2 linked regions of the Drosophila melanogaster genome follow. Changing the gene in region 2 together with the main gene of any one other region gives a genetic interaction. Each region holds a gene or a part of one and is shown on either strand. Other genes may lie near its edges.

Region 1 (4,983 bases), on a different chromosome or scaffold from region 2:
TGGCAGGGAATTGACTACGGTTGTGCGGAAGAACTTTGCCCGCACATTGCAGCAGCTTATACAACACGGACTTCGCATACCAGCGGAATCGGCTGCCTCCAGTTTGATGGTTCCCTTCATGAGGTGCCTGCACCCTGGGCCTCCGGTAGTGCCGCCCGCCGTCGGAGGAGACTCGCAGTTCCTCGGCTTGGGCAGGGCCATGCACGCCTGGGAACTAGTACTAGCCTATTATAGGTTGAAACACGGCGAGGAGTACAACAACACGCCTGCCAGAAAGTTGTCGCAGAGCTTCCAGCTGGACATCGTGGACGCGCAGGCTGTGACCGCCAAGCAAAGTTTGCTCAGCGCCGTGGGCATGATTCTGGCAATGCATCGTCCATACAAACGGAGTAACAACGCGCACTTTAAAGCCTTCGTCTGCGCCGGACTCAAGTGAGTTATTTACATGGGCTAAACGCTGGGAAATCGAAGGAATGTTAGTTAAGATGAATTTACAAGCCGCATAACTTTGCAATACCATATTATTTACAGGTGCATAGTTTGAAGCACTAGCCTTTTACATCTTCAAATCTTCATTTTATAGTTATTTTCCTGGCAAAGAGGAATCTTAAAGAGCAAGAGACACACAAACTTTTTATAATTACAAGTGTCCAAAATCAAAATATTCTTACTGCAATTATCAGCAATTCTGCGGTAATGTCAATTCTCTACTGTCTTAAACTTTTTTATCAATGAATTGCTTAATCGATTTTTTGCTTTAACATGTAAATATAAATATGTAAATATTAATATATTTAGCTAGGTGCAGGTAGCTTTTGACTTTGCAGTCTGCCGAATTAATTTAAGCATAAGGCTAACAGGGACGCGGGGATAGACCTTTACCTTGGCTTTTATCACACTTCTTTCATTCGAAATGCTTTTCTCTTCCTTCAAACAGTTCCCATTTGCTGGTGGAGTGGCTGAACCTGATCCTCAGCTGCCATGAACTGGTGGACACGTACTACTCAGCAGACAGCTACGTGGCCCGCACCGGATTCCGCGACTCACTGCGCTCCATCGATGCTCTTTCTCGATTTGACTTCGACCTGCCGGTGGACCTGGCCATCCGGCACTTCCGCAACATCTAAGGGCGGCTGACTTGTACATTTTTTGGCTTAGACTAGATCACACTATTCAATGTCCAACGTATTCTCTCTCTCACTTATGTATAAACTCGTGTATATAACCTTAGATATGTCCCATAAAATCAATTGCTAATCCTAACGAAAGTGCGTGCTGTAGAATTCGTGTAGGCACTGGCTGATCTTGTCGCCCAGTGGACGTTCCAGGGGTCCACACGGGATGCTGGCGAGGAGTAGCCTGGCCTGCTTTTGGTCTGCACACTCCGCGTATGCGTCCAGCAGCCAGCGTGGAGTGGGGTATCTTTCCACAATAGCCATGGCGCGTTCGAGGGAAAGGGAATGCAGCTGTAGCAACTGTTGCACGAAAACCTCGCGCACTGTGAGCTGGGCATTCTTTGCGGAATCCTCATATAGGGCCCGAAACTTGAGCAACCCCAGGTCGGAATGCGTGAGCAGGCAGGTGGATTGGTCGATGGCGCCGCGATCCACGCTGTGCAACTTCTTGCCGGCGAATATCTGGCCAAGGGTGCGACTCATTCCGGCCAAATAGCTCATGGATCGGTAATGATTCGCCGTGCGCACCACTCGGACACCAGTTTGAACTTTGGCATTAGTCAGAGCCTGCTGCAAGGAGTCCAGTGGAAGGCCCAGCTGCTCGTTATCGCCATAGTCCTCGACCAGGTAGATGATGTGCTGCAGGCCGCAGTGCTGCAGCCTGTGCTTCTGTTCGTGGAAGCGACCATCCCGAATACTCGATGCCAGGTCGTCCATCCTCTTGCGCTCCACAATGTAGGGTAAAACCAGTTCATTGCCCTCTTGATCCTGGGCCACCCAAAGGAAATCGCCGATTGTCAGGCGACGCACTTCATGACGGGCTCCCAAGGACTCCAAGTAGCTCCTCGTCTGGTCCAGAACTCTCTTGTTTTTGCCACTGGTTTCCTGAGTATCCACCAAAAGGAGTAACTGGAATTGACCTGGTTTCATTCGCACGACGCGCTCCCGCTCTTCAAGGGCTGCCAGCTCCGCCAGATCTTTTTTGGTTAGCTTCCTGGGCCTGTCGCATTTATTCTGGCGTTTCTGGTGTTCCAGCTGCTTCTCCTGAACCTTGCGTACTACCGCCTGGACCTGCTGCTCGTAGCGCTCCTGAACCACGGCCTCCTGTGGCAGCAATTGGAGGCCTCTGTGATGGCGAAGTTCCTCGTCGATTAGCTGGCAGAGGGTGCCCCCAAAGCCGCGCAGAATGGAACAGTCTCGTCCGCTGGCCAATGGCAGAGGGTAGCTTTTTAGGGACTCCAACGCCTGGCGCAGGCTAAACTGGGACTTCTGTTCTCGGCGCTCCGCTTCGCGCAGCCAGCGCTCCAGCCAACGGGTGAACAATGGATTCGGCTCCCGCAAGAGCACTTCCAGTCGGGTCTCCATTGCTTCACAACTTTTATTATGTAAAACAATGCCAAATAATAAAACTAATGCACGGCAAATAAACGCGCTTCAATTGCCGGCTTCTGGTGGTGGCATTTTTATTACTGTACAACTAGTTTAAAGCTTATTATGGCTTTCGATATATACGGTATGTTCTAAACTCTTCGGTATTTTTTTTTGATTTGTTTTTTTGGCGGGCAAGCAAAAACTGAACTGGCAAAACTGAAGATGTGTGATTCCACGAAGGCTGCTGCGATTAAGGGAGTGTGTTAACTATGTAATGGCCGACATGTTTCCACGCAGGATAAAAAGCAGCAACAACAGCTGATGTTTGTTGGTATCTGAAGCGAATTCAGGCGGCGCAAAGAGCACACTTTCCATAGGACGGTCACACTGCCTCTGCACGCTTGTTTTTGCGCCTCCTGTTTTTGTTTTGATTCTTAGTGAAGCCGTGAGAGAAATGGCAGAGGGAGTGGAGAGCATCAAGCTGGAGGCGCTGTCGCTGAGCGAGGGAATCCGGGAGTCGCCCGTGTGCATACTGGTGCTGGGAATGGCCGGCAGCGGGAAGACCACGTTCACACAGAAGCTCATCCAGCACGCCCAGGAGAAGTTCAATCCGTACGTGGTCAACCTGGATCCGGCGTGCAGGGAAGTACCGTACGCGGCGCACGTGGACATACGGGACACGGTCAACTACCGGGAGGTGATGAAGCAGTACCAACTGGGTCCCAACGGTGGCATTGTGACCGCGCTCAATATGTTCACCACCAAAATGGCACAGTTTGCGGAGCTAGTGCGTCGCGCTGGCGAGCGCGGACACAAGTGGTGTGTGATCGACACGCCCGGACAGATCGAGGTGTTTAACTGGTCGGCTTCCGGGAGCATCATAACCGAGGGACTGGCCACCATGTTTCCCACCATTGTGGTCTATGTAATGGATGTGGAGCGCAGTGCTTGCCCTACCACCTTCATGTCCAACATGCTGTACGCCTGCTCCATCCTGTACAAGACCCGTTTGCCCTTCCTTGTGGCGCTGAACAAGGTAACGACTTTCCCGGCAACCCAGATATCCAGATGTATAGAAAACTTCTTTTCCGCTTCAAACAGATCGACCTAAAGGACTGCGGATTTGTGATGGATTGGATGACAGACTTCGAGGCCTTCCAGGAGGCCCAGGAGGAGGAGCACAGCTTCGTGAGCAACCTCACGCGCACCATGTCGCTCACCCTGGACACCTTCTACGAGAATCTAAGAACGTGCGGCGTCTCGGCCAAGACAGGCGTAGGCTTCACCCAGCTACTGACGAAGATTCTCGAAAGCGTGGACGAGTACGAGACGGACTACAAGCCTGTTTACGAAAAGAAGCGCCAAGAGCGACTGGCGGAGAGTGCGACGGGTCCAAAGCCAGTGGATCATGTGGAAGAGGACGGCCATGCCGTTCCCCTGGGATTGTCGCTTCAGGTAGGAACAGTTCCTCGGCTATTTGTGCACCCACTGCAGGGTCTTAACTATTTCAGGACCCACCGCCGCACACTGGAAACAGCATTTTCCTAATGGCACCTAGTCTGGTGCCCGAGTCGGCGGAAATCGAAGACGAGGAGGAGATGGAGGAGGACGCGAAGGGCACCGCCGAAGAACAAAACTTCCACAGCTTCGTGCAGAACCACCTGACTGCCCAGCAGAGCAAGCGGGACAAACTGCAGCAGGAACAGGAACAGGCTCAGCCGTAAATGGGCGGATTGTGATCCTCGATGGCTATGGATTTCGTGATTTCGAGTTTTCATTTTTATTATTTACTTTAACAAGCAAAAACATTCAATATAGTGTGTGTTCGTCACTTGCACCTCCGATATTTGGTTTGTATATATGGACTTAGTTTAGCTTTGCAAATTAGTGATAACATATACATATGGAGGATATATCCCGCTCGTAAATGTAAATGCAAGCCTCATACTTTGCGTAACTTACTCTGTATATATATATATGTATGCAGATAAATATATATATATTTACATTTATGCTGTATGTATCATGTGTGGTGTGTACTGCGTTGAGCAAATAAATTGTGTGTCGCGTGTGTTGGCTGCTGCGCCCGATATCTTACGCTTTATAGTTGCTTCTCTGGATTTGGTTGTCTCGTTATTGGCTGCCGCTTTAAATATTACGCTTACAAAAATACAGATCATCTCAAATACTTGTCAATGCCTCACAGTTATACACAGTTTATATAGACGAACAGTAGTCCCCCGCTACGGTTTCTCACCGCCCTACTGCTCACTGCCCAACTGTCCCATCTGAATCGAATCGAATCGAATCGCCAAGCGTTTTGGGCCAAGACGGACTTGCATCCCCATCCCCATCCCCGCCTGCCTGTGCTGCAAATTAGGTGTAGTCGCTTGCAAAAAAATATTCATATCTCTGGACGTTTCATTTGATTTGAGTG
Region 2 (6,355 bases):
AGCCACGCATCTACTAAACGCCGCCATCCGATCGCTTTTCAAGAAGGTCACCTACCAGGTCTCCAGTTCTGTGAGCAGCGATCAGTGCAAGCTGGAGCTGGGACTCCTGGGCAAGCGCATTCAAAAGACCGATGTACAGCTCATCGAGGATCTGATCAAGTGGGTCGTCCTGATATTAGAAATTTTTATGAATTTAACTTACAATCCTTTGCAATAGTCGCGTTATCTGCTCTGCTGCGCCGGTTGAAGTTCAATTGCTGAGTGCAGCTGAAGTTCTGGAGCAGAATGACATCACAATGGTGCCCGGCGAGGTTTATCCTGAGCAGGGATTGCGTCTAGTCAACGTGGAGAGTCCTGAACTGCAGCTGAGCTCCAAGGAACTGTGCTGCGGAACGCATGCAACCAACACCAGTGAGCTTTCGTGCTTCTGCATCGTGAATCTCAAGCAAACCAATCGTGCGAGATTCGCATTTACCGCCGTTGCTGGCCAGGCGGCGGAAAATGTGAGTGGACTTATATATCGCCTTAGACTAGTCATTTAATCTTCTTACTCTGTTCCAAATAGGTGCTGAAAACGGCTGCCCTGCTGCGACACCGCGTTGATCTCCTCGAGAAGCAGTTCCAAACTGACAAACTCACAAACGCTACGGAGGCGGAACTGCAGACGATTCGGCACAACATGTTGCACACGGACATTAAACTGCCATACGCTTTTAAGATGGACACGCTGGAACGCATCACCGAGATGCTGAAGAGAATAAAAGATTCATCGCGCACAACCTTAAAGTAAGTTTAACTTATTAAAGTAATGTGCTCCATTTCTAAACTCTACATTTTCAGAGAATTTGTGGACGTAGAGATGCGCACGCTGCTGCAGGAGAAGCCGTTGGACACACACCCCTTCATTCTGCACTACATCACCAGTTCCGCGCTCGTGGAGGAGATTCCTTTGCAACGAGCCACCAAGCTGTGCCCGGATCGGCCCATCCTCGTAATCAGCGTGTGTGATAGCGTGGTCAAGGCTCGCTGTTGTGTACCAGAAAAGTGTATCACGGAGAAATTCAACGCTTCCGCCTGGCTGCAATCCTTTGCCGACACCTTTAATGGACAAATAGCCGCGCCCAAGGGCCAAAATCCGCAGGCCGTGTGCAACATGAAGGGTCGACGGGTGAGCAATCTGTTCGAGGAACAGTTGGAGCAGGCAATGTCCAAGGCACATGCATACGCTAAGCTTTATCTATAGGTATAAGTTGTGATTACCCTCCAAAATGTGCTAGCTGTAAGCTTGCCCTTTGAATAATTGCTCATGTGAGGAGCGAGTAAATGGCGAAGTTTTAAGGAATTTCAGAATCTTTAATCACTAATCACTACCAGGTCATCCTCCTCCTCATCTTCTGCGTTATCCTCTTGATCCTGGGGCACCAAGCTGGAGTTCATCAACTCTTCAAAGACATCCGCATTATCGGAACTTTGATTGAAGAAGTAACTTATGTTATCCAAGGGCTTCACTGGCGTTGGAATCTTTTCGCTGATGCGATGCTGCATCTTGAATCGCTCCACTGGCGTCCTGGCCAGCTTCTGCAGATCTCCCTTGACCAGCAGATCAAAACTGTCCTCCAAGGAGAATCGCTTACTCTGCGGTAGTTGATCCACTTGAGAGAGATCTCTTTTCGTTTCCACTTTGGGCGATTCATTCACATTTCCTAGACTCATCTGCGCCAGACGTAAGCTCAAATCTTCCGCCATGGGTTCGTAATGAAGCTGGTGACCATCGTGGTTGGTCAGTGCTGGCTTGGCATTCGGATTCGAGATAATGCCTTTAACTATGTCCGACATATCGAACTCTTCGGCATCGCAATCGCTTTCCAGATCGGAGGGCAGGAACTTGGTGATGGGGGTGGAGCATTGCTGACGTTGCGGAGCGGGAGCCTTGACCGGAGTACCTTCCTTCTTGCGCCCTAGGAATTGGTGCAGTAATGGCTGGTTCTCTTCAGGCTGAGCCTTTATCTTTCTGACCACTCGCTTTGGTTTCGAATTCGGCTCGTTTTCCTTATTCTCCTCTTCAGATGCGGTTTTCTTCTTTCGCGTGGTTTTCTTGGCGGGCTTCTCCTTCGACTTCAAAAAGGCCGCTACTAAATCGGGATACGCTGTCTCCAGCATGTCCAATGGCTCAATGGTGTAGTAAAGTTCCTCGATTCCCTTGGGATGCTCCGCTTCGTACTCCGCAATCTGCTTGTCCGGAATAAGACCCTTGAAGATGCCACTGGGATCGTGCCAGCGCAATTCTAAGCTGGGCACACCCTTCACAGTTCGCTTTTTGATAATCTCGTGTGGCTGGATAAGTATCTTCTCCTGCTTCGATTGCTGCACCTGCCAGCGTGTGAGTATGGGAAAGAACTTTTGGAAGCAGTATATTTCTGGCCACTGCAAGAGATGTCCGATTTGTTTGATGAATTTGACAAGATTTGGTTGCCGCCAGTTGAGATTTAGATTGGGAATGGTGTCGGGTTCGCTGAGAAACTCGGCAATGATCTCTTCGTTGGGAAAGTCAGGAGATAATAGGGCTTTCCGCCTCAAAGTCAACTCGGACTTAATGGATAGTCGTTGTTCTCTAAGGGAAGAGTTTAATAAACAAATGTTTATATTAGTTTTAGGAAATAGCTCACTTCCAGAGACTCTCATCGCAGCCTTTGTGTGTGCGACACACACTGCAGCCACTTTTTGTGTGGCTCTGGGTCTTGCCAATGTGGCCACAATTGCTGCAGATGGATTTGTCGTCCACTCGGATCTCCAAGGCATTGTATTTATCGGTTTCACCACGCCAGCTTCTCATTCTGCAGAAATAATAATCAAAGCTTATTAGCTTTAAAAATATAATATATGTAACAATGTAGTAGACTACCTATCCAAAATCTCAGTCTCCTTGTACTTGTTGAACAGCTTTAGGACGCCATCCTTGCCAATGCCACCTATGCCATCAGGACAATAATCACAGCCGCAGAGCAAAGCCATCACAATGATCTTCTGTTGGCCAAAGTCCATTCGGGATGTGATCTCCCGCATGTCGTAGATGTCCACAGCTCCGCCGGCGGCTGCCTGGGCTCCTTGGGTGGAAACGGAGAAGTTGCGATAGACACGAACGGCTCCATAGGCAAAGCAATCCGAGTCCTGGCTAATGACGCCGTCCACTAGCTGCGGACAGGAATATAATCGGATTTGGTACAGAGTTCTTGTGAGGATGTAGTTGATATACGTACGCCATGCTTGTTGAGAAAGGCACAGTAGGCCTCCGCCTCGCCGGGACCTTGGACGCACTGGATTCCCATGGAGAGCAGCAGCGTTTCGCACTGCTTGAGAACATGGTTGAACCGGCTGCGTCCCTTGTCGCCCTTGGACGGCTGACTTTGGGTGCACTCAGGCGAATTCTTGGGCTTCACTCCCCGAAACTGGAGCTCATTCCTTTTGGCTATCACCTGGCTCTTGAGTTTTGGAGCAACTCCCTCCAAAACGAAAACCGGAGTAACTTGCTCCCAAATCAAGTAGCAAGTGCGAAAGAAGAGGTTCCTGTTGGTAAAGCGTAAATATTAATATTTTAAAAGAATATAAGGTATTAAGAATTTTTTAAACCTACTTTAAATGATGCCTTGGATGCACAAAGTAGTCCACAACATTAAGAGATTCGCACACCCAGCCGGCCAGGTCGATGGCCACTTTCTTTCCCCGCAGTTCATTAATGGGTTTACGTTCACAATGGGGCGTTAAAACACCCCATAATTCCTTGACGCCCATTTAAATAAGCTAAACAAAAACCCCGCGAGAAATTCGCAACAAATTTAAACAATCGCTTCTTCGTCAGAGTTGCCCAATCAGTTACTTTCTAGCTACTTGAAGCTATATTCAAAAGCAGCCAAGTGCAAAGTTGTGACAATAATTGGCAATGATAACTTTTTTAACAATAATACATGATGCTATTTTCAATAACAAATATTATACATATAAATGTCATCTTATTCGATTTTAAGAACACATTTCGTTTTTAGCTTTTTTTGAGCTTGTCTCTAGCTACATTTGACAGCACTGCGACTTCCGCCAGTCACTGCGAAGCATGCTCGATAACCGATAGCGGGCTTTGTTTTGACAGCTGCACAAGCGACCGCTGCGAATGGCCAGTGGTCAGCAGTCTCTTCTTCTTCCACGTCGACGTGTCGTGTCAGCCAAAAGAAAGTCGAAATAAAATATTGAATTGAAGCTGCCCCTTTGCGAGTAGGCCCGACAAAATTCAGAAGCTGCCAGTCGTCCGTACGCCAAACCACACACAACCACCACCGGCAAGATGGTTCTCGCGGATTTGGGTCGCAAGATAACAACGGCGCTGCACTCGCTCAGCAAGGCGACCGTAATCAATGAGGAGGCACTGAATTCCATGCTGAAGGAGATCTGCGCAGCGCTCCTGGAGGCTGATGTGAATATCCGACTGGTTAAGCAGCTGCGCGAGAATGTGCGTGCCGTTATTGATTTCGATGAGATGGCCGGTGGCCTGAACAAGAGGCGAATGATCCAATCGGCTGTGTTCAAGGAGCTCGTCAAACTGGTCGATCCCGGCGTGAAACCCTACCAACCCATCAAGGGCAAGGCCAATGTGGTCATGTTTGTGGGTCTGCAGGGCTCCGGTAAGACCACCACCTGTACCAAGCTGGCCTATCACTACCAGAAGCGCAACTGGAAGTCGTGTCTCGTGTGCGCGGATACCTTCCGTGCTGGTGCCTACGATCAGGTCAAGCAGAACGCCACCAAGGCGCGCATTCCGTTCTACGGCAGCTACACGGAAATCGATCCCGTGGTCATTGCCCAGGACGGTGTGGATATGTTCAAACGCGAGGGTTTCGAGATGATCATTGTGGACACCTCGGGTCGGCACAAGCAGGAGGAATCACTGTTCGAGGAGATGTTGGCAGTGTCCAATGCCGTCAGTCCCGACAACATAATCTTCGTGATGGACGCCACCATCGGACAGGCTTGCGAGGCTCAAGCGAAAGCCTTCAAAGACAAGGTGGACATCGGTTCGGTGATCATAACCAAGTTGGATGGCCACGCCAAGGGAGGCGGAGCTCTGTCCGCAGTGGCAGCCACACAGTCGCCCATCATCTTCATCGGTACGGGCGAGCACATCGACGATCTGGAGCCCTTCAAGACGAAACCCTTCGTGAGCAAACTGCTTGGAATGGGTGACATCGAAGGACTGATAGATAAGGTGAGACATGCCACACGAGCTTAAAATTATACCGCACTACAATACAATTGAAAACACGTACTGAATATAAACTCATTTTGCACAGGTAAACGAGCTGAAGCTAGACGGAAACGATGAGCTGTTAGAAAAGATCAAGCACGGTCATTTCACCATCCGCGACATGTACGAGCAGTTCCAGAACATCATGAAGATGGGCCCCTTCTCCCAGTTCATGAACATGATACCCGGTTTCTCGCAGGACTTTATGACCAAGGGCGGCGAACAGGAGTCGATGGCGCGCGTTAAGCGTATGATGACGATGATGGACAGTATGTCGGATAATGAACTGGACAATCGCGACGGAGCAAAGCTCTTTAGCAAGCAGCCAAACCGCTGCGTTCGTGTGGCCCAGGGAGCTGGTGTCATGGAGCGCGAGGTCAAGGAACTGATTGCACACTATACGAAATTTTCGGCGGTAGTAAAGAAGATGGGCGGCGTTAAGGGACTGTTCAAGCAGGGCGACATGACCAAGAATGTGAATCCAACACAGATGGCCAAGCTCAACCAGCAGATAGCGAAGATGATCGATCCCCGGATGCTGCAACAGATGGGCGGCGTTGGTGGTATCCAAAATATGATGAGGCAACTGCAGCAAGGAGCTGCGGGTGGTTTGGGTGGCCTGGGGAACCTGATGAGCGGTTTTGGTGGCAAGTGAGCAGGTGGCGTGTAAATTTAACGATTTTTATATGATTTTGTTTTCGCGTAGTTCGTAATTTGTTAGCCATTTGTTTCCATTTGTCCAAGGCCACAAAAATTGATACGCGTTGTGGAAGCGAATATAGCGTATATAGCCTATAAAGCCCATATAGATGTGCAAACAGTTAACAAATTCGGTTTTTGTACGGCTTGGCAGCCACAGTGTCAGTTTTTATAGTTTAAACAGTTTTCTGTACACGAACTAATGGAATTAGCATGCCTATCAGAATACCAGTAAGGCAATTGAACTAGATATAAACAATAAATAATTAATATATGAACTTGGCTTTAAATTGGTTGTGTTTATTGGGTTTAATCTCGGGCAACGAAAAGCAGAAATCCAGTCACCCTGTTGACCTAACACATACA

The links. A genetic interaction does not mean that the proteins touch.
Region 1: of Gen (region 2) and mus81, changing one enhances a phenotype caused by changing the other (phenotypic enhancement), as found in Drosophila melanogaster (one study listed by BioGRID).

The regions. Positions count from the first base shown.
Region 1 is NC_004354.4:938,751-943,733, reverse strand, and holds mus81 (mus81), read right to left. Parts: upstream 2,660-4,983; 5' UTR 2,541-2,659; coding exon 1,260-2,540; 3' UTR 1,128-1,259; coding exon of another isoform or gene 938-1,127; 3' UTR 505-937; downstream 1-504. Other genes in the region: CG3703 (uncharacterized protein), read left to right, coding at 1-432, 938-1,127; CG3704 (uncharacterized protein), read left to right, coding at 3,001-3,582, 3,648-4,001, 4,058-4,270.
Region 2 is NT_037436.4:5,148,513-5,154,867, forward strand, and holds Gen (XPG-like endonuclease), read right to left. Parts: upstream 3,865-6,355; 5' UTR 3,790-3,864; coding exon 3,632-3,789; intron 3,565-3,631; coding exon 3,258-3,564; intron 3,193-3,257; coding exon 2,903-3,192; intron 2,835-2,902; coding exon 2,667-2,834; intron 2,612-2,666; coding exon 1,354-2,611; 3' UTR 1,337-1,353; downstream 1-1,336. Other genes in the region: AlaRS-m (Alanyl-tRNA synthetase, mitochondrial), read left to right, coding at 3-159, 218-503, 566-786, 841-1,243; Srp54k (signal recognition particle 54k), read left to right, coding at 4,334-5,251, 5,337-5,945. UniProt on the Drosophila melanogaster protein: Endonuclease which cleaves flap structures at the junction between single-stranded DNA and double-stranded DNA. Specific for 5'-overhanging flap structures in which the 5'-upstream of the flap is completely double-stranded.